3 linked regions of the Struthio camelus genome follow. The main gene of each other region encodes a partner of the protein of the gene in region 2 in a complex. Links are inferred from orthologs where the notes say so. Each region holds a gene or a part of one and is shown on either strand. Other genes may lie near its edges.

Evidence for each region. Proteins that work in one complex are often made in the same cells at the same time.
Region 1: RBL1 (region 2) and MYBL1 share a complex: the UniProt entries of both Homo sapiens proteins name them as parts of the DREAM complex. The link is inferred for Struthio camelus from reciprocal best matches to the Homo sapiens genes RBL1 and MYBL1.
Region 3: the proteins of RBL1 (region 2) and TFDP1 are in contact, whole or in part, in a crystal structure (PDB 5TUV), measured with the Homo sapiens proteins. The link is inferred for Struthio camelus from reciprocal best matches to the Homo sapiens genes RBL1 and TFDP1. Residues at the interface, in NP_002886.2 of Homo sapiens: Tyr1004, Phe1006, Asn1007, Ser1011, Leu1014, Ile1017, Asn1018, Ile1021; in NP_009042.1 of Homo sapiens: Pro260, Phe261, Ile262, Thr290, Phe291, Glu292, Ile293, His294, Asp295, Ile297, Glu298.

Annotation. Positions count from the first base shown.
Region 1 is NC_090943.1:132,430,896-132,437,854, forward strand, and holds the start of MYBL1 (myb-related protein A), read left to right. Parts: upstream 1-3,947; 5' UTR 3,948-4,093; coding exon 4,094-4,113; intron 4,114-6,959. UniProt on the Homo sapiens protein: Transcription factor that specifically recognizes the sequence 5'-YAAC[GT]G-3'.
Region 2 is NC_090959.1:872,786-879,658, reverse strand, and holds the start of RBL1 (retinoblastoma-like protein 1), read left to right. Parts: upstream 1-3,863; 5' UTR 3,864-3,904; coding exon 3,905-4,042; intron 4,043-4,963; coding exon 4,964-5,097; intron 5,098-6,094; coding exon 6,095-6,295; intron 6,296-6,873. UniProt on the Homo sapiens protein: Key regulator of entry into cell division. Directly involved in heterochromatin formation by maintaining overall chromatin structure and, in particular, that of constitutive heterochromatin by stabilizing histone methylation.
Region 3 is NC_090942.1:156,567,563-156,575,303, forward strand, and holds the start of TFDP1 (transcription factor Dp-1), read right to left. Parts: upstream 3,013-7,741; 5' UTR 2,798-3,012; intron 2,632-2,797; exon of another isoform or gene 2,581-2,631; intron 2,393-2,580; exon of another isoform or gene 2,085-2,392; intron 2,007-2,084; exon of another isoform or gene 1,762-2,006; intron 1,747-1,761; exon of another isoform or gene 1,335-1,746; intron 1,158-1,334; 5' UTR 1,084-1,157; coding exon 1,072-1,083; intron 1-1,071. UniProt on the Homo sapiens protein: Can stimulate E2F-dependent transcription.

The DNA.
Region 1 (6,959 bases), on a different chromosome or scaffold from region 2:
TCAGCTGGAGCGCATGTGGGGTGATTATTTTTTCCTGTAGATCCAGTACTATTCATAAATTAAGTAGAAACTATATATTGGGTGTGTTATCCAAACATGGATGACGTGTATATAAATAACATGAGATAGTTGAAGAACTTTACAATATGGGTTTATTTCTTTGTAAGTTTGCTTCCTGTGTAGCTTTTGCGTGACGTCGGGGTATTGTTAGACTAGATCAATTTCACAGCTCATATCTTTCCACAGTGCTGAAATATCTCAAAGGAGAATGCAGTTGGGTTTAAAACATACAAATGAATCTATTATTCCAGCTAGTATTCAAAATGACCATCAATAAGCCTTAAAGCAATCAAAATCATTTGCTGCTGCTCACATGTTACATTCTGGGGAAAATATTACCAATTCTGATGTAAATGACTACAGATTTCTCAAAGAAATGCATCCGCTGCCTGGGCTGAGAACAAAATAAGGTGCCTGAATGTTTCTGTCGTATACAGTTAATGTTTATAAAATGGAGTAAATTTTTTCTTTCCCTGTGATCAAATGCCAATAGCAATCAAGGTTAACTGCTGTGTCACTGTTGTTGAGCCACTGTATTTCAAAACTCTAGTGCAAGAGTATGGAGGTTGCACTTATTGGCTTAAGAACTTAATCGTATTGTAGAAGAAATGAGAGTACCCTATGGTGGCATACAGTATGTTGAAAAACGTTCCAGTACAGAGGTAGACCTTTCTCCTTCACTGAGCTCCACATGCTGGCATTAGGCCCCAGCTCTAATAAACCTTGAAATTCATGCCTGCGCTGTTCTCGAGCTTCTGAGAGTGCACCAAATCGCCTAAATAAATGTCCCTAAAAATCCCTATTTGAATTTTCAGCTTCCGATAATTTTTTGAGTTTTGAAACGGTTACATTTTCTTTATGCTTATAACTCAGCTTCAAAGTTTTGTTTGAATGAGGCTTCATGCATACCACTAGCTTGCAGCTTAAGACTTGGTGTAGGGGGATATCGAGAAAACACACAGATTATACTAGAATCTAGTTTGAATTTCATGGCAGTTGCATGTTCAGGAAGTTACTTTCTCTATTGTGGTGTTTACCAATCTTCTGTAAGTAAATCTGTCTCTGAAGTGAAGACAAAACATGTGTTTAAAAGAAGAAACCATGTGCTGTTTTGATGTCTCCTTTGGCACCATTCGAGAAGGTAAAAATCACAGTAAAGAGCTGAGTGTTAGGGCCTCTGCACCCAAGAACTGCAATCCATCATCCCTTTTTAGATACTTTATCCCTTAAATGCAATCAGAAGACATGAGCGTGGTACCTGCAGTACCTCGGGCGTCTGAAACAGCAGCAGCGCAGCAAAGTCCTGCCTGAATCAGTGCATTTATGCTGTGCCTGCCTAAAAGCTGATCACCGAGGAAAGGAGATCTTTAAACACCGACTCCAAGGGGAAGGTGCTCCCAGGTATTTTGGCTCACTTGCTCACAACCCCTATCGTTCGGGCAGGCCTTCGCTCCGAGGAACCCTGCAGGGTTTGTGTTTCTGTTTACACAGCCACAAGAGGATGTGGTGAGGCATTTGGGTGCTTCTCCTTTTGTACAACAGCGTGGTGGTTAGGGCCATCGCCCAATAAGTGGGATGGCTGGGCTTGAGTAAACCCGCATTTCTTGTTTCTCAAGCAAGTGCTTAACCACTGGGCATCACAATTTTTTGGAGGAGGGGGAAACGGGAGGGAAGGGGGAAGGGCTATCTCTGAGCTGCTTGCTGAGACTGTGCTCCTGCCTGGCAAAGAATTGCAGAGTCACTGGCCCAAAGAGAGACTGTTCCTATATATTTACATTAAACTAGCAGTTGGGAACATACAGATGGGCCTGGAAGCAGCAACCCTGCTGCTTCCTCCCAGGGGCTACCTAACCGCTACGGATGGACTCAGCCTCCCTCATTTTTACTCGCTCTTACGACTACCATGATTTATTTTTTGGTTTTTTCCCCCCCTCCTCATTCTCCTCTCCTTCACACAACTTTTGAAAAGAGGAATAAGGAGTATTTCCAGGCCCGAGGACTTTATTCTGATGCGCTTTCCTGGGAGGTGGGAAACGCTGAGCTGAAGCAGAGGGGCAGGTGGGTCTGGCTCAGCCCGGAGCGGCGGTGTGAAGGACAGCGGCAGCACGCGAGACGTGCAAACCGGCACCGCAGCCGTTGCCCTCCTGGGTCACGTTTCGACGACGGGGACGGCTGCCGCAGGTTTTTAGCTAGGCGCTGGCTTTGCCAGACTTGGACCGGGTAAAGATCTTGATCTAAAGCTGGTCTGATCCGAGGCAGTTCATCGGCCTCCAGGGATCTTAGAGTTCATAACTGGCAGTGTCTGTGAAATATAGGCACGTCCAGGGCTAGTCAGACCTTGGGCTTTTAGTATTACAGCTGTGGATTTAGGCACGTGATTTATCCGTGGTAAACACTTAAGGTGAGAAATACTATGCATTTAAGTGTATCTCATCTAGGACAAAATTAATAATTCTATATATTCACGATCTATTCATCATCACAATACTATATATTCATATTCTTTTTCACTTTCTAGTTTTCATGGCCTTTTTGCTTACGGCTGCACACAGTGGAAGAAATGCGTAGTTAGACTAAGTCCCGAGTTCCTGAAATAAAAATGGCATAGAGGTACTTAGAGTGAACGTGAAAATACACACACACACAAATATAAAAATTCAAGCCTCGGGTGTTTTTTTTGTTTTTGTTTTTAAATACAACTGTTTATTACAAGGTGTGTGAAAGTCGCTACTTCCCGAAGAGCGCAAGAACTAAGAGCAGTGTCTGCTGTAACGGGCTCTGTCGCGGCGGCAGCGGCTGCTGCTGCTGCTCGGCGGCGGCGCTGCCCGAGGTGGGGGTCGGCCGCAGCCCCGGCGCCACCGCGAGGGGCGCGGCGAGGCTGTAAGGCGCGGGACGGGCGCTTCAGGCAGCTCCCTTCGATAGCTCAGCTGGTAGAGCGGAGGACTGTAGAGGCGCCGCCCGCCCGCGGGAATCCTTAGGTCGCTGGTTCGATTCCGGCTCGAAGGAGGCTTGGTTTTGCGCCGTGCGGCGGCGCGCTGAAAGCGTCGGTTTTTTTTTTTTTTTTTAATTTTTTTTTGCCAGTCAGGAGCGCGCGCGCCACGTCTGACAGCGCCCGGGGCACCGCGCCGCGCCGAGGCGCCGCTCGCGGCTCCGGGCTGCCCGCCCCCAGCGACGCGGCGTTATACGGGGCGGGGGGGGGGGGGGGGGAGCGGGCTGGCGGCGAGCCGAGCTCGGGCCTCCGCCGCCCCCGCCCGCGGCGCCGCCGCCGCCCTGTCAGCGGCGAAGACTCGCTCCCCCGTCATGCCTCGCGCCAGCCGCCCCCCCCGTCCCCGTCGCAGGCCGGCCCCGCCCCCCTTTCCCCCTCCCCCCGTCCCCCCGTCCCGCGGGACGCGCGGCCCCGCCCCGGTCGCGTGCGGCGGCGGCAGCCAATGGGGCGGCAGTCCGCCTGCGCAGATTCAAACGGTGGCTCTGGAAGGAGGCTGGGCGCGAGATTCGGCGGCACCATCCAAACCCGCCGCGAGCGCGGCGGTGGCGGCGCAGCCCGGACCGCGGGGCCGGCGGAGGGCCGGGGCGGCCAGCGGGCCGGGCCGGACTGAGGCGGCACGGCACGGGAGGAGGCGAGACGAGGCCCGGCGGGGAAGCGGCTCGGGGCGGGAGGGCGCCGCCGGAGCCCGCGGCGGCTCTGACAGGAGCGAGAAGGCGCAGCTGGGCGAGAGCGGGGCCCCTGCGCGTCCCGTGCTTGCGGGCAGCGGCCGGGCTGAGGCCGAGCCATGCCTGCCGCGGCGGGTGCGGGGCCGGGCCGGGGCTGAGGGCGGCCGCCAGCGGGCTCTGGATGCCGCGGAGCTGCGCGGGGAGAGGGGAGCCGTCAGAGGAGCCGCGCCCGCCTGAAGTCACCGCCAGCCGCCCGCCGCCCGCCGCGACGCTGTCCCTTCCGCCGCCCCGGGGCGGCCAGCGGGGCGGCTGCGGGAGGAGGAGCCCGGGCGGGGGCTGCACCCTGCTGCCTTGGCGCCCCCCCCCATGGTGCGCCCCGAGGATGGCGAAGAGACCGCGCAGGTGAGTGTGGCTGCGCGAGCGCTGCGCCATCTTACCCCTCCCCCGGCCAGGCCTGCCCGGTGCCGCCCCCCCCCCCCTCCGCGGCTCCCCGGGCCGGGCTGTGCCGGCTCCGCTCGTGGCCTCCCGCGCTCTGGTGTCGCTCCCGCTGTCCCTCTCAGCCCTCCTGGCCCTGCACCCCCACAGGCGCGGCACCCGTCTTCCCCCTGGCTGCCCCGCATCACCTCGCGGGTATAAACTGCTCCTCGCACCTGTAGGCTGCTCCCACCTGCGCCCTTTTTTGCTCTGCCTCTTTGTTGTAGCTTACCTAGGCAACCTCCTCGGCTCCTGCTTCTTGCGGTCGCTGGCCCTGTCCCCCACGACAACTTTGCTTCCACAGTGACTTTTCCTGCTGCTTGTTTTCCTGCTGCTGGTGTGTTATTTCTTGCTTTTCTATTTCTGAGTTGTTTCTGCGCTGCCTGCATGTCAGGCTTGAGGCTTGAAATTGATGTTCAGGCCTGCTGCTTGGCCGAATATCTTAAATGAACCCGTTTACTCTCACTTGGCATGTTCCTTGATTGAGGATGTCATAAGCTAGCCTGAAATCTCCTGAAGAGCGTTTCTCTCAAACTTCAACAGCAGCCCCAGATACACTTTTCTTTCATTTATAAGAAAACACATGTGTCTTCACTTTGTATTTAAAAGATGAATGTTGGAGAACTGTTTTATTGCCATGGTTATTTTTGCCCTGAATAGAAAATCAGTTTCTGAAAACTGATAAAGTAGTGCTTTAAAAAAGGATTGGGACTGAGAAAGCTTTCACATTAGTATTACTCATTTAGCATCTTTTCCTATCTATGGCATCTGGGGTTTGCTGTGAAACCATGCTTCCTGTGGAAGTGAGGATGGCTTCAAAGTTTCACTTACAAAATCTACTAAACCTGCCTGTGCTGCATCTCTTCTGAAGAGTGAAAGAGTTCACAAATTAATATTATTTTTCTGCAAAACTGAAAGTCAAACAAGAAGGCAGTACTTTTGGGCTGTAATTGTGTAAGAAATGGGGAAAGGTTCATTAAGAGGCTTTGCTTGCAGAGGGTAGCTGCTGGAACTGTCATAATTTAGCAGTCTGCAAGACAACAGTGCATAGAGAGTGTTTTCTGTTACTCTTAACTTGCATTCCGTAACTTCAGAAATTCCATCTATGGTATTGTAACCGATAATTTCATCTTTACAAAGCTGTAACTTGTATTTTCCCTTACGGATATGAAGTGCTTTCATCTTATATTTGAAAATAAAACTAGTTGTGGATCGCAGAGGAACTTCTGGTTCGAGATCAATAACCCTAGAAGAATACCTTATCAGTGTATGATGATGACATTCCTGAAACTAATCATCATAGTATAAGTTTACATCGAGATGCTTTCAAGATCATTAATCTAGATGTAGAGTAAGGAGGAAATATAACTGTTTTGTTCCACATGGTATTAAGTTTAATTCTGTTAAACTATGCTTGATTTTTTCGCATTTGGAAGATCTGTTTTTTTCTTTCAATGGTACCCAACTCAGAGCTGCAAAATAAAGGAAGAGAAAATCAAGGTGAGTTTTATTTGAAGATAGCTAGCACAGAATTCTTGAAGTACTTTTTTTTCCCCCCTAATGTTTCAAATTTCTTGTTTGATGAAATTACATGGCAGCGTTCCACTCTCATGCAATATTTCACTGCAGTTTCATAACTGAGAAAGGTTATTGTAGTTCCTTTGACAATTCTAACACATTTGACAGTCTCTTCTTCCCCCTAAAGCAATATCTGAAGTTAATAGCCCCAGACCTTCACATACATTTAACTTACAGTCTACTGGTGTCCCATTCTAAGCGAGGCCAAAAAGTAAACGGCGCTTCGTGTTGACCCGAGGTGCAAGGGGGCTTGCTCTGTGGTGAGCTGGTTTTCGCCCATGGACGTGGGAGGAGGGGGCCGGGGGGCGCGGGCAGGGCTTGGAATGCGCCGCCTCCCTGGAACCTGAGGGTGAATCCGTCCCAACTGCCGCTGCCAGCTGGGCCCCCACGGCTTCCGCTGCCCTCCTCGGCACCAGCGCCTTGTGTCCAGCATCCTTTTCTTTCTTTCCCCTCTTTTTAAAGTGTTGTTATTATTATTAAGCTTTTAGCATGATGTTACAAACACGAACTGAGCATCAGATGGTTCCTTGTTATCTTCCTGAATGTGAAGGCAGCTCGACCTAGAAGGGACATGTGAATTATTCCTCTCAACAGCAGTGATTCTGAAAACGGAATACAATGGGTTAAACAGAGATATTATTTCAGTTCTAATTATTTTAATAGAGCTAACTAACATTGCTAAGTTGCAGAAGATTATATATGACTATGCAGTAATGCCTGTACTGTTCTGACTTCCAAACTGTTAGTTTTAATGTGGGGAAAAAGCTGTGGTGTACCTTTGTGGAAGTTTATAGAGCACTGATCTTTACCTAACACTTTCAGTATGTCAGTGAAAAATATTTTGAACTTTAATATTAAACACCTAACCATTTTACACTTAGAATATTGATTAAAACTTTTAACCTTGAATGAAACAAAAATGAATTCAAGTCAATTTCTTCCTGCTGGTCTAGAAAGCTGGAGAAACTAGGGAGCTGTCATACTGTGTGTGTTTGATCACTGAGTTTAGGCACCCTAGTATAGCTCAAATACATGCACACTTTAATGTGTAAGGAACATAAGTCATATCTTCTCATCTCCTTGCAAATCTACAGGTGATCTAAGGATAAGTGTTAATGTTTTATGATGCAGTAATTCTTTTTAGAAGTAACGATTAGTTTATCTGAAGTTGTCACTTTTTTTTTTTTTAAGTCTTA
Region 2 (6,873 bases):
GAGCAAATCTTTTTCAAACATATGTAGGTGCTTGGATTAAAGCTAGTATTTAGGTTAAGCAACAGTTTCAAAAGCCTCCAAGTTGAACCGATTTTCAGTGAGAAACAGGCTCTACTATAGCGTGGCTCCTTTTTTACCCAAAGTACTGACAGCTTTAGGTAACTAAAGACTATTAACTCTTGCGTGGGAACAATCTATGTGGCAACTGCAAACAAAGTTGTTGCGTTGCCATTTGTGTGTAATTCCTGCTGCAGAGCTAGAGCGACTTCTCATAAAACGGTGCCTAGGCCTCTGCACTCTGCAGACGAACGTTTCAATAAAAACTAAAGTCAGCACCTGTTTGCTTTAAATTGTCCCATCATAAATTAGGGCAGGTCAGAAGCTGCTGTGTGAGCTTCCTCGCAGGGGGTCATTGAGGCTGGTACTGCTGAAGCTGCTCATGAACAGCAGTTTCACGAGTTAGTGAGGAAGAGCGTGGGAGGCACTCTTAACATGATGTGGAAGCGCGTCTGCTGGACCTGACTTAATCAGGCTGGTAACCTGCTCTAGGGGTGCTGGGGCTCCAGAGGTGCCCTATTCCAGCGCATGAAGATGTATTTTATGCACCGGACCATTTACTGTTAAAAACACAAGTAGTCTTGAAGCAAGGGGCTTGAAAGACAGGTCTCCTCCTTCCATCTCAAATGGGTATTTTAGCTCCCAGCTAAAGAAGTCATGCTCACTCCACGCTGTCTCCAATAATTTTTTTGTCACCTTATAAAAGGCCGAATACCTGTAACTGGAACCTTTGGCTCGGAGGGTTATAAATGTACTTTTACATGCCTAATGGCCTGCAAAACCCTTACATGGGGTACAGGTGTGCTGCGCAGCATCACCCAGTATGGGGACTGCTGCTGCCCACCGCAAGGCAGCTGGGAGCCAGCACAGCACTTGAAAGCCTGTATGGGGATAATATATTCCCAGCAAATATTTGGAGTGCTCTGAAGTACCTCAGCCATTAGTGCTATTTTAATGCTAACAGTCTGTGACTAATTAAGCCAAATTGGCAATTTTGTTCTGCCTCTGAATTTCCACTTGAACTAAATTAAAGGGAATTGATCCTATGACTGAAATTTGATTAGAACGCTGAGCTTCAACATCTTAAATTTAACATGCACTCAGATCCACTGATCCAGCGAAGTATTTAAGTACATGCTTAACTCTAAAGCTATGAATAATCCCACAAATGGGAATAACTTTCAAAAACATGTTTATAGGCACCGCAGAACAGGGGCTGAACGCTTTACAAAGTAGGTAACTTGTGCTCAGTTGAACGATGGGAAACTGGAGTTACCTGAGCAGTTTTCCAGTTTATATCTCTACTGAGGGGCCAAATGCCCTCATTCTACTTGTAAAAGCGACTGAACTTAATTGGATGTACCATAAATGTTTGTGCTGCAGTACTTTGAATTGTCAGCACTGATGCGGCCAGATACTGAACATCCCTCAGATTCATTTCTCTGATCGTGGTTTCACTTCCTTCCTTGCCTGTGACCATCCCTCCCTCACTGTCCTCAGCAGCTCTTCCCTCTCTTTCCTGTAAGCCCCAAATTCAGCTGCAAACAGCCCCAGCCCTCCTAGCCCCCCTCCTCGGCACGCGCAGCCCTCGGGGCAGCCTGCGGAGCTCACCCCGCGCCCACCTCGTCCCCCTTCGCCCGCCGGTTTCTCCTGGTGCAGCACCAGCACGGCTGCTGGGAAGAGCGGCTGCAGCTACTGTGGCTTAAAATCGGCCTCATGAGTTTAAGTCACTTTTAAGGAAGCTTTCAAACAGGACAAGCTGTCCAAACCCTGAGACGTTTCTAACTTTCTTTTCTAGTCTTCTTTCTTTTTGCTCCCTAAAAGCCGCCCGCCCCTCTCATTGGAAAGTTAGTGCATCCTCCCCTGCCTCAGACTCCGGCCCTGGTTGCAAGCATGGCAAGCAGGGCCCCCGTGAAATGACAGTGTTTTCCTGCTTTCCTGAACAGCGGCTTGGACACAAAGTCTGTGGTTTTCTCAGTGGGCAGAGAGTCAACAGTAATATAGTGGCTCACCTGTCCCTGTGTGGTTGCCTGTCCCTACCGGCTAACTTCTTAGGTTCACTCAACGATAAGGCGTAAATATGCTTGTTATTTTAGTTCTTTCAAAATTATTAATCGTTCCCCACAGCGGTAATAGTACCAGTTTAAACCCAAGGTGGGGTATACAAACAAGGATGCGGCTCAGGTCTCTCAAACGGTTCATTTCGTATCACAGCGAAGGTGACGGCATGAAATACCCCTGGAGTTTCGGCAGGTAAAGAGGAGAAGACAAAGGTCAGTGGGATCACAGGTGCCCCAGGATCTTTGCCATTTGAGAGCAAAGGGTGTTAGAGAGAGCGACTGCAGCCAGCCGGAAAGCCCGGCACGGAGGCGTCTCCGCACAGCAGCGTTACACCGAGACCGGTGATGATGAAGAAGGAAGAAACGGTCTTGCTGTTTGGCGCAAACTTGCCCGCGCGTTGTGCTTCCGCTTCCACGGAGAAAGCCTCAGCGCAACCCCGGAGCGAAGCGCAGCGCAGCGCGAGAGGACACCTGCGTTCCACCTTCGGCAACGAGCGCCAAGCTGCTCTGATCTCCACAGAGCGCGCCTGCCAGCCCGGCGCTGCGGTGGCGCGGCAGGCCCGTCCCGGGCGGCGTCGGTGGCCGGCCGGGCCCCCGCCGCCCCCCGTCCCCCTACGTGTAACCCCACGTTCGCAGGACGGGGGCGGGTCCTGCGTTTACTTCTGCCAGCTGTTTCGCTGCACATTTGCTAGAAAATCCCTCCAGTTTGAGGCGGATTGCCTGGCGCCCGTTCATATCTTGATGTTGGGAATATTTTTTAAAGTCATCAACTGTTTCTTGCTGGTCTTTGTAGTCAGCCCGTTTAAAAATAGCACAAACAGCTATCGATGAATGCAGCCACATCAATGCTGAAAAATAAAGCGATCTAGCCAGCTTTCCACAGCAGCGTCGTTACCAGCATTGCCTGCTGTCACGAGGCCCCAGAGAGCAGGAACCGCCGTCCTGCCCTGGGGACACTCTGCGGTTCCTGGCCGAGGAGGCTGAGCGCGGCATCTGCCAGACGCTACCTGCTGCCCTCCCGGCCCACGGGCCGGAGATGCTGCAGGTGGCCAAGCAGTCGCGTCCCCCCGGCAACTCCCCAGCCCAGCCCCTCTCCTCCCCTCCGATCTGCTGACAGCTGACTGCAGCAGCTGAAAGCGCCTTTCTCGTCCGTCACATCCCATTTTTCTCCCTGGGGTCACAGCTTCCCAGCAGCTTAAGCCAATTAAAAATCCTTCCGCGCCCCACCACCCGCTCCCCGCCTCGGCGCTGGCAGTCGAGCAGAGCATGGCCGGCCGCTTTGGGGGCTGTATTCAGGCAGAGATGAGCCCAACCAAAAAAAAAAAAAATTGTAACAAGATCACGTCCCAGAACCAGCTTGCCGCAAGACCCTGTGAATGTGGGACCTGCCAAAAAATAAATGAATGAAAGGAGAACGAGAGAGAGGGCAGAACGTTTCGTTTTGATTTTAATAATACCGGTAATCGGGAACCGGTAGTCCTCATTACCTCGATAACAAACAGCACGTTAACACTGTTTTGCCTTAAGCTGCCACGAAACGACATCCTCGTTTTGCGAGCAGGTAATGCAGCGGCGGGCACAGAGCGGCGGCCCCGCGCCGGGACGGGCTGCGAGCGCCCCAGCAACCGCCCGCCTCGCCGCCGGGCCCGGCCGCCGCCCCGCCGCCCGTTCCCGCCAAAAGAGGGCGGGGCGCGGCGGAAGGGGCCGGTCCCTTCCGGGTGAGGGGGAGTTGGCGCGCGGGGCCTGCGGGAGCGGAGCCGCCGGGCCGGGCCGGGCCGGGCCCCGCCATGTCCCGCGCGGAGCCGCCGCCCGCCGAGCCCGGCGCCGCCGTCGAGCGCCTCTGCCAGGAGCTGAACCTGGACGCGGCCAGCGCCGCCGAGGCGCTGCGCGACTTCACGGCGCTGCGCGGCACCTACAGCCTGGAGGTGAGGGCGGCGGGGCCGGGCCGGGCCGGGCCGCGCCGCCTGTCAGCGGGTGCCGCGGGGGCGGCCGGCCCCGCCGGGGCGCGGCGCTTCGCGCGCTCGTCGCTGCCCGCGGGCCGGGCGCGCCCGGGGGCACCGGGACGCGGTGGGTCGGGGCGGGGCGGCGGCGGCGCGGCCCGGCCCGGGGCCGCTGTCATCCTGCCGCCGCCCCGGGCTGCCGCGGTTGGGCCGGAAGGAGCAGTTCGGGGGTTCCTGTGGCTCCGACTCGCCGTCGCTTGTGAGCGCTAGAGCGCAGAGGCCAGTGTGAGCTCGTCAAATAACAAATGAAACAGATTTGCACGCCCAGAAAAAGCCGCTGCTGGTAGGAGCTGATTCGGCTGTGGCTGGGTGCTGAAACCGCCCTTTAAATTTAGGTGGCAAATATGCAGCCAATACACTATTCGTTTATCTCCTAATCCCTCTTCAATGGGAAAGCGTATTGCAAAAACCTGGTCTTAAGAACTCATTAGTTCTACTTGAAATTCGTTTCTCTTCAGCCACATGGGCATGTGCTTACTGTAATCCTCAGTTAGAAAATATATCCGGAGGAGTCTGAAAGATGTCAGCTGTTGCATTAGCCTCGGTGGCCAAATTACACTGTGTACTTTTTGTTTTTTCTTTCAAAAAATACATCCTCTGCCCTCTCTATTATTGCAAGTTGAATGGAAAAACAGAACAGTAACCTCCTTGTGTATGTGTATGCGCATAGATATATGTTTTTGTATAAGTTCCGCAAAACGTGCGGAGAAGAAAGCCCTCCAGCTCCCCACATGCTGGTTCTCGTTATTGTCACCAGAGGTTTTTGGAGGCTCTGTAAAGCTGAGGTGTAAGCTGAGCGCAGCCTTTCCTGGCTCAGCAGTCTGGTGCCTTGCTGTGGTTTGGCAGGGAGAAGTTGTCCATTGGCTGGCATGCGCTCTGTACGTCGCCTGCCGCAAGAGCGTCATTCCGACCGTTGGAAGCGGCCTTATGGAAGGAAACTGCGTCTCGCTGACCAGGATACTACGTTCGGCCAAATTAAGGTTAATTTTTTCACGTTGTTACTTATTGTGGAAGTCCCAGAATCTGACTCTTCCAGTATGTAAGGTAGTAATTTATTGTTCCATTAGCGTATGCTTAGTAATTTAGGCACCCAGGCTTTTATTTTTGTCAAGACTCCAAGCACTGCAAAACTTGCATGTCCCGAGGTAACGTTGTAAAAGCAATAAATCCTCTTTCGTTACAAATGGAAATAAGATGCAAATACTTTTTTTTTTTTTTTCCCTCCGAGTTCAACTTCAATCCTTTGAAAAACCACCCACATCAGACTAACAGTTGTTCCACCCACAGAGTTGGGTTTTTTCTTTTTGTAGTTAATTGAAACACAATTGAGACTTCTGAATGTTTCATTAGTAATCCAGATAAAACCTGTATTTGACTCGGGATTTAGGCCAAATTGCCAGATTCGGTCTTGACTGCTATGTCGTTTGGCGTTTTTGGGGACGCAGAACTGCGCGATTGCATAAATACTTATGTGCTTCAAGGTTTTTCCAGTAGATAGCTCTGCTTACATAGATGCTGCCACTATAATTGTAACCAATGATATAACTGAAATGAATGAATTTCATGTTCCATTTAAAGAACCATTTTCAGCTGGACTGCCAAAGGGATTTTTGCCGCTGTAATTACACCTGCATTTAATGTTTTTTTGTCTAGGTAGCTTTGATAGGCATGGACTCATGTTTTTGTTGCCTCCCCTCCCTCCCCCTTAACAGTCGCGTAGCTATGTACGCTCTTTCCGTCTGTAGCCCTCCCTTAACCAGCGTTGCTGTGCTGGCAGCCTTTGAATGCGAGTAAGGTTTTTCCATGTCTGTGGCTTCAAGAGAGTCAAGAGGAATAAATACAGAAGCTAAAAGCTTCCAACGTGTACAGTTTGGCAGTGCATCAAAATAAAGGCATTTTGCCTTGGTCAGAAATTCACAGAATAAATACACTTAGTTAAAGCTCAAAATAAAACAGATTTTTCTTTTTTCTTTGAAGTTTAATTCAGTTTTTTAGCAAAATGAAAAAGTGGATGGACATGTCAAATCTACCACAGGAGTTCCGAGAGCGAGTAGAGAGGCTGGAGAGAAATTTTGAAGTGTCAACTGTGATTTTCAAAAAGTTTGAACCAATATTTTTGGATGTATTTCAAAACCCTTACGAAGAAACTTCTAAACCACAACGAAGCAGGAAACAGAGGTATTTGTGAGGCTTAATGTGACTTTTCCCTGGAAAGGGCTACCTATGGTACAGCTTTACAAAAATTAAGATCATGTTTTGTGCTTTAAAAAGTCCGGGAAGGTTCTGAAGTGGTAGGGTCACTTTGCTTTGTGGCCTTGACTCTGAAATGCAATGAATAAAGAAGGACCCCTCCATCTTGCTGGGATAGTGCTGATATGAGCAGAGCTTTTCCTCTGTATGTTGTTTCTGCAATTCACTGTAGGATTCGGATATTGGCTTGTAATGAGAATGTCTCTGTATGATGGGAAGAGCTACAGTGAGATAGATTAACTCCCGCAAAGAGCAGTACTGATGATGTTTAGCCAAAATAACTGAAGTAATACAGGGGTATTTTGTCTTGGCAAAGTACCTCCTCAGGTAGTTGATGTCCTGAAATAATCCGTCTGTACAGTCTTAGCTGCCTGTGCTGAATGGGAAAGCATTTCCAGTTCCGTGGCTTTGGATGATCTCTACGCCAAACTCAATGCAGGAGAAGAAGCTGTAATACAAGTAATAGTTGCATGTGTTGAAGGGATGACTGATGCTTTGGTAAAATA
Region 3 (7,741 bases), on a different chromosome or scaffold from region 2:
TCTTTGCCAGGCAAGCTTTGAGTGACTATGTATTTCTCGTTGCTTCTCTGTACATTAAGATGTTTTTCAATTGCTTCTGAACTACTCAAATTCTCTGCAGGATTAATTTGTTAAACCAATCACTGTTGCACTGAAATTCTCACTATTTGAAAGCTACAACAGCTCATATCAAAATTTAACCTGCTGTTTAAAAATGTGAAGTTATATTACTTTTCCTCAGCTTGTCAGTTGTTTTTTAAGTGAAGATACATTCTAATTGGAACACGGAGTAGTATCTTGTCTTATTGTCAATAAGGAAACGTGAAAGCCCAATTACATTAGCCGTTAACAAAGGGTTCAGTTTTAAACACAGAATCTATTTAAACATTTCTTCTAATTGTTAAAAAAAAAAATACTGAAACGGGTAAAGAGGAAAAAGATCACTTCTCAACCTTTTGGCTTAGATCAAGCATACCATAGATGGTTGGAGAGGTAGGCCACAGAATCAAAGCTACTAACCTTGAAGACAATGATAATGAAAGTCTATGATGAAAGTCCCCAAAGCCTGGTTTTACTGACACCAATTAGCATCTTTTCATAGCTAGAGGAGAAACAATGAATACACATGGACAGTGAACTCTCCCCTGAATATATTATACCTCCTTGAGTAGAATACTAGCACTGACACTCCTGTTTTGCCTGTTGTCAACAGGTAACAATAAAAGAGTAGTCAGTGACAAACTCAACACCTGAACAGTATTTTTATGTACGTAAACTCAAAAATAAGTATTTTTAGCATCCAATGTGAATACACATAACGCCACCAACGCAAGTGCTTAAGTGCTTTTATGAGGACATTGACTCCTTGATTAATTACTCTGAAAAATGGCTGCAGATATAAAGCTGGCTTTATGTTGTAACATCTGAAGAAAAACAGTCTCAGCGTGGTGTATAACAGAGGAAAAGTATATTCCACAAATCCACTAATGCCGGCTACTGTAAAGCATAAATTGCTTTCCTTCTGCTAGTAAAAACAAAAGCAAAAATATATTAGCTATTCCTCCGCATATGACATACTACAAACATACTTACATCTTTTGCCATGTTACCAAAGACTAGAAATCAATCCTCTTCAAATCTTGATGGCTGCAGGACACAGAGACAATTGATGCTATTTTCTAGAAAGTAAGTAAAGACAACATCAGCTACAAGAACGAAAGGGGGAAAAGTTTTTACCGTGGAAATTACTGAATACCACCAAATACATTTTACTTTTTAAAAAAAAATGTTTTTAAGAAGAAAAAGTTTTATGTCATCATCAAATAACCCCCTAGTGCCCCCCACCCCAAACTCACATTTAGAAATACCCCTTATCCTACAGCTGGGGTGAGCTCTCCGCTGGCAGGAGCGCCCTTCCCCCAGCACATACCCGATCCCAGCAGGGCAGCCGGAGCCCACGCTGGGCCGGTCCCTGTCCAGCTGCGCCCTTTGCAACCCCGCGGAGAAGGGCGCGGGCAGAAGCGACGGGGAGAAGAGATCACTCCCTCGGCGGCCTCCTCCTCCTCCCCACCCCCATTTCCAGCAGCAGGCACAAGTAGGCCTCAGGGGCCAGCTCCCCCCGGGGCCTTCCGCAACCCCCCTTTCCTCCTCCTCCCCTCGCGGGCGGACGGGCCGCGGCTGCACCAAGAGGCAGAGACGGGCACTTGCCACCGCGCCTCGGGCACCAGCACGCCCGCCCGCCTCCCCCACCGCCCCCTCGATGCCCCCCGACCAGGGCCTCACCGCCCGGGCAGAGCCCTAAGCCCCGCGCCGCCTTCCCCTCAGCAGCGAGGGGCCGCGCTAATCGCCTCAGCGGCGGCGGGGGCACGAGGAAGGGGGGAAATGCGCCCGCGCGCGAGGCGGCATCGCCGGCAGCGGCTTGGGGGGGGGGGGGGGAAGGCGGCAGCAGGCGGGCGGGGGGGGGGGTCCGTCCTCTCCTAATCCTCCTCGCCCCGCCGCCGGCAGCACCTCGCCTGGCGCCAACTCCCCCCCCCCCCCAACACCCCCCTCGGATCATCCCCATCCTCCTCCTCCTCCTCCCGCAGGCCGGCCCGGGCTGCCCGCACCTGAGCGGCCGAAGGCGGAGAGAGCCGGCTCCATCCCCCGCCGCCGCCCCCAGACAGGGACCCGGAGCGCGGAGCAGGAGCACCCCCCGCCCGGCGCCGCGCTGCTGCGGAGGCGCCGAACTGCACATGTGCGGCAGCGGCGGCGGCGGCGCGCGCGGGCCTGGCGAGCCCGGCGGGAGGGGGCAGGGGAGGAGGCAGCCGGCGGCAGCGACTTGGGGGGGGGGGGGGGGAGACGACCAACGGTCCCCAACGGTAGCTCAGGCGGGGAGGGGGGGCCGGCAGGGACCGCCCCCCTCCTCGCGCGGCGCGGCGCGGCGTGGAGAGCACGGGGGGGGGGGGACATGGGGGGGGCGGCTCGCCTCACCGCCTGTCACTTCCCAGACCGCCCCTGCCCCAGCGGGTCAACGGCCTGGCGGGCTCCCGGCGAACCGCCGCCGCCGCCTGCCCCCCCCCCAGGTGCGAGCGGGCCCGCCCGGCCGCCCCCGGCCCCGCACACCTGCGCGGGCTCCGCGCCGCCCGCCCTCCGCGCTCTCCCCTGGCCGGGGCTGCCGCGGGGGGTGGGGGGGGCGCGGAGGGGGCGCCAGCACCGCGGCCCCTCCCCGGGTCCCGCGCGCGCGCGCGCGCGCGACCCTGCGATTCTTTCTTTCTTTCTTTCCTTTCTTTTTTTTTTTTCCTTTCCCCCGTTGGCAGGAAAAAAAAAAATTGAAACTTACACTTTTGTGCGTCCCACCGGCGTGACGCTGCGCGCTGACGTCACGGGGGTGTAGCGTGCCTTGCACGGGCACACGCGGAGCGGTTAGAGGCAACCGTCCGCCCCTCCGTGGGCGGAGGGAGCATGCGCGGGATTTTCGCGCCTTCGGACTGCCCGCCCTGCGGCGCTCGGAGCGAGCGCGCGGGAAGCCTCGGCGCGAGATTGCTCTTCGGCCCCGGCCGCCGCCGGGCTCCTCGCGGAGGGAGGGAGGCAGGCAGCCCGCGCCGCGTCTCGCCTCCGCGCTCCTCGCCCGCGGCCGATGGGAAGCCCTAGCGTTCCCCGGCCCCGGCTGACAGCGTTTCAGGGGCTGCGGGTGCCATGACGCTGTTAAATTGGAGCCGGCTTGCACGGTGTGGTTAGTTGCCACAACATCCTGCCGGTGCTTCCTCATCGCTTCTTGTCCTGCTGTTACTTGAGCAACTTCACTGAGGCTGATCCATTCCAAGCTTGTCATTTCATAGCACTTGCAGGGAAAAATTTTCCTGTTACACAGCTGCTGCTGTGGTGCTTGAATTAGGCCAGATCCGCCCTAAAGAATCAGCCTGCATGATTTCTTGCACTTAAGGATGTGAAACCTCCACATACTCTATATGCTAGCAGAAAGACAAGCGCGCGTGCAGCTACAGCAGCAGAAAAGATGTTTGTTAGCTAGGGCTGCGTGATGTAATTATACAACAAAGATGTAATTTTTGGCAAAAAACTTTCAGCATGCATAGTAGGAGCTATAAAGGCATAGCAATAACGGTAGAAACTAGCAAAGGCAAAGCCTTATGCTTCAAAAGCTGTGTTGGTTATAGGTGCAGATAAAAGACTGCTTGAGGGAGGGAGCTGCTCAGCAACTTTTGCATGCAATACCAAGTGTGTATGATAAGGTTATCGTAACACAGTCAAGAGGGGAGCAGGAAAGAAAAGATTCTTTCTTTCTCAAAAACTGTGCTACTTCCTGATCGTGCCTGGGAAAGACGACTATTCGTGAATAAAAGACATTACCAGGAGAGCTACTATATAAAAACAGAACGAAAAATCAGTCACAGTCCCCAGAGAAGGTTCATCAGTTGACTAGATTCACACTGAGTTTACCTCTTTTACACTTTTTTTTTTTTTTTTTTAAATCTTGGAGTTGTGTTTTCTAACAATGAGAAAACACTAGTTACTCTGATTCTTTTGATAAATGTAGCCACAGTCCAAGTTTTTCCTTTACAGTAACACCTTGCTACCTGTCACTCACTATTTTCAGGTTCCATGGCTGATGATTTAGTACCCTGCTCTGCTAACTAAAATGGGGTTATACCCATTTTTCCATTCTTCATTCTTGACTGAGCTTGAAGAGCAGTGAGCCTCTGAAAAGATAATCATATTGGAAACGTAACTGTTGAGGAAGACACAGACCTCCCCAGTGCTGCCCCTGAATGCCCAGAGCTGACCCTCAGGTGAAGCAGCTGAGATCTTTCTGCATGGTGACCCATTCCAAGAACAGGTAGATAAAGCTGTCAGCAGTATTGCAAGATTCAACTACATTAAGAGAGCTACTATTCAAAATCTCAGGCCAGTAAGCTGTCAGCTCTCCAGTCAACAAAACCAGCCTCAGCCAAAAAAAAAAAAAAAAAACACACACACAACAACTCAAAAAAGCCAGCATCTCCTCCAGTTGTTGATGCTGCTCTCCATCTTCTGTGCCATATATACTGTGTCAGTGTATTTAAACTGTGTATATTTCTTAAGTCCCTGCATGCGTCTCCCTTTATTACCTCAATTCTTAGGGGAAAAAATTGTTTCACTATACCAACTACCACAAAGCACTGCAATTTCCAGGAATGCATCCTCAACAGACGACAGGGTGTCCCGTCCTAGGATAAAGGGACCACAAAAAAGCAAATACTTCTAAAAAGGTAGAATTCAGTGACTGTGCTAAGGAACAAAGCATTTTCTCCCATGTTTTGAGTTCTACCTGACAGACTAGCACCACCTTAAAAAAGTTTGAGGTTGAAGAGAAAAATTCTAGCTTCTCTAGTACAGAGGAAAATTGACAAAAATCTTCTTACAAAGAAAAATAAAAATGAAAAATAATGTGTTTGCAGTTGTGGTTTGTATGGACTAAGACAACTATGCTAGCTTTCAGAGCAAAGGAGTAGTAGCAATCAAAGGACAGAACATGAACCTGGTCTACCACTACCTGCTTTTGCAAACTACGTAGCTTCTCTACAAACATGTGAATCAAGTCTTTCTTCATCCTAGACAATAAAGAAATGGTAACTGAAGACCACTGTTTTTTCATTACTCAAGTTCTTCTATTTACATTTGTCATGTAATCCTGCTGTGTTCCTTATGCGTGCCAGTAAGCTTCTTGTCTTTGCCCTGAACTTCCTGTGAGACAATTGAACAAGCACATACTACAGAGGTACAGCACTTGTTTTTTCCTTTAATGCTTTAGGCGTTCTCCATTCCTTATGCAGCTTGGGGTGGGGGTGAGAGGAGAGAATGTTATCCTCCTTTTGCCAGCATTTATTTTACCACATTAATAACTCCCTAAGCCTATTTACTCCCAGCAGTTTTTTTCTTAAGCATAGTGTTGTTTACAACTAATTTGAAATATTTTATCAGTGGAAAAATCTTCACTGTTTCTCTAATCTCTGAGCACTCCTTTTTTGGCCTTTTCTCAGGCATTCTGGAGCTTTCGGACTTGCTTTGTTTGTAGTAGTAGAAAGCTATCCCTATTGACGACTGTTTCTCCTCTGGTGTACCTCCTCATTTTAAATAAGTTCGAAAAGGAGAACAGATCACACCTTCAAGTCATATCACTCTGGCATAATGTGTAAAAGACACAGAAACAAAGAAAACTACGGGTTGCAAGAGGTTATCTAGCCTATAGTTAGCTACCTATGACATGAGACCAGCGATAGCACAGGGACACATTTTGACCTGCATGCTTCACAGCTGGAAGCTATGCCATCTTAAGGCAGGCACATCTTAAGGCAGACACAACTGTCTTAAAGAGACAGCTAGTATCAACTGATCAGCTTTTCAGCATCTGGGCTCATTTAGAGGTAGTATCTCCCAATTCCCAAATTTGTTTTACCTTAGGAAATAAAAATACAGCTGGGTACTGTAACCTTGGAAGTTTGCCATTCTCTGATCTAGATTTTGCTCTGCAAGGCAGGATCAGTTGTCCTTAAGCCCCTTCTGGTCACACAATTGTCTAATTTGTTCTTAATCTCCAGCAACCAAGACTCCATAGTCTCTTCCAGTGATACACTGTTGCAAAGTTTTTCCCACCTGGCACCAGTAACTACTCAAGAGAGGCAGTAGGAGAACCAAGGAGGCATGACTCCTGAGCTACTAAGTGTAGTTGGTAGATGTATGCCTTTCTGCCTCGCCTTTTGTTTCCTTTTGGGCAAGGTGGGCCACATGTTTCCCCAACTGTAGGACATCTTGCTGCTTTTCCTTCACATTCCACTATTGTTTCCTCCCTCATTGTCAGATTAGTTTACTAGTGGATGTCTGCTAATTGCTGTTTATAAACTGTTGCTGCTTCCAGTGACAACATCTACACTGTCAGCATAGCTTGCCTCATGTCACTTAGTGGTCCAGTTTCCTCCATCTTCCACACTGCCCTGGTGCTGAAATACTGCCCAGATTGCTTACAGAGCAGCACTACAAATTCTTTCCCTAGACAAAAGCCAGGAGTGATTCTGAGGTTAGACTGCTCCTGGATTCAGTCCAACAGGCAATAAGACTTCTCATTCCCTCTATCAAACCTCATCATATAATACTATTCCTTTATGCTATAGCTGCCCCCTTCCCCCCCACCCACAAAGCAGAGAGCGTCCAACTGTTTAAAAAAAAAAAAAAGGCAAAAAAAAAGGAACCATGAAGCTGCTTTCTCATCATCTTTAACAACTATTAAAAAAATACATGAATTCTTAAAAACTTTACAAAGTTAGGGAAGTCCCATGGACTATGTCATTATGGCAGCATTCCTTGAGCTATCCTAGGCCCATGCAAGTGACAATTGCCAAAAACCTGCCTCCCACCTCTCAGAGTTTTCCTTTTGAGAGACTGAAGCAGAGCCTGCTTAGATGGGGTGAGCTGTAAGTAGGGTGGTTGTGCGTCAATACATACCAGCCTGACCCTGGGAATAGGAAAAGGAATCTAAGTATAAGTACAGTCCATGCTATGAATATTTAAACTGTTTGGTTCCTTCTCCTTCATGGGCAACAATGACTAAAGCAGCAATCAAGCGGGTAAGAACTCCAGTTCTCAGACAGAAAGCTACAGTCCCTGAAACAAACTGAGATGCATAAAGCAAGCAACCAGTTACACTCCCCTCCGCCAAAAGAAATAATAAATAAATCAGATATGCTGAACAAGTTGCCACTCGCATACAGAACAGACCCTTCCTTTCTACTCACTTAAGCTCACTTCACCACAGAAATAACCACTCATCACCAGCAAAGACAAAGGTTCTACCCTCCATCAGCTTTTCTGTATTCAAACAATACTGATCATTAGGTAAAAGAATGAGACAGATATCAGCCAACAAGCTGAAACAAAAATTTCCAGAAAAGACCACCTGTTCTTCAACAAGCCTTTATAAAATCATGAGATTTTACTTACAGGCGTTCTAGGTCTCTGCTTTATTTATATCTCCTCAACACGGGGCGGGGGAGACCACAAGTATTTTGGAGTACAAGTGTAAGTTCCTAAAAAGCTGCAACTGCATCTACATGGACCAGTTGTGAAATATTCTTCCCATTTTCCATACAGGCACATCAGATCTTTGAGGAACAACGTCTGTTGCTTCTATCCTAAGATTTTTATCATGAGAGTGTCCGATTTTGACATAGAATTATGCATGAAGGCATTACCTGCGTTTCAGGAAGTATTTACACCACTTTAAATGCACTCC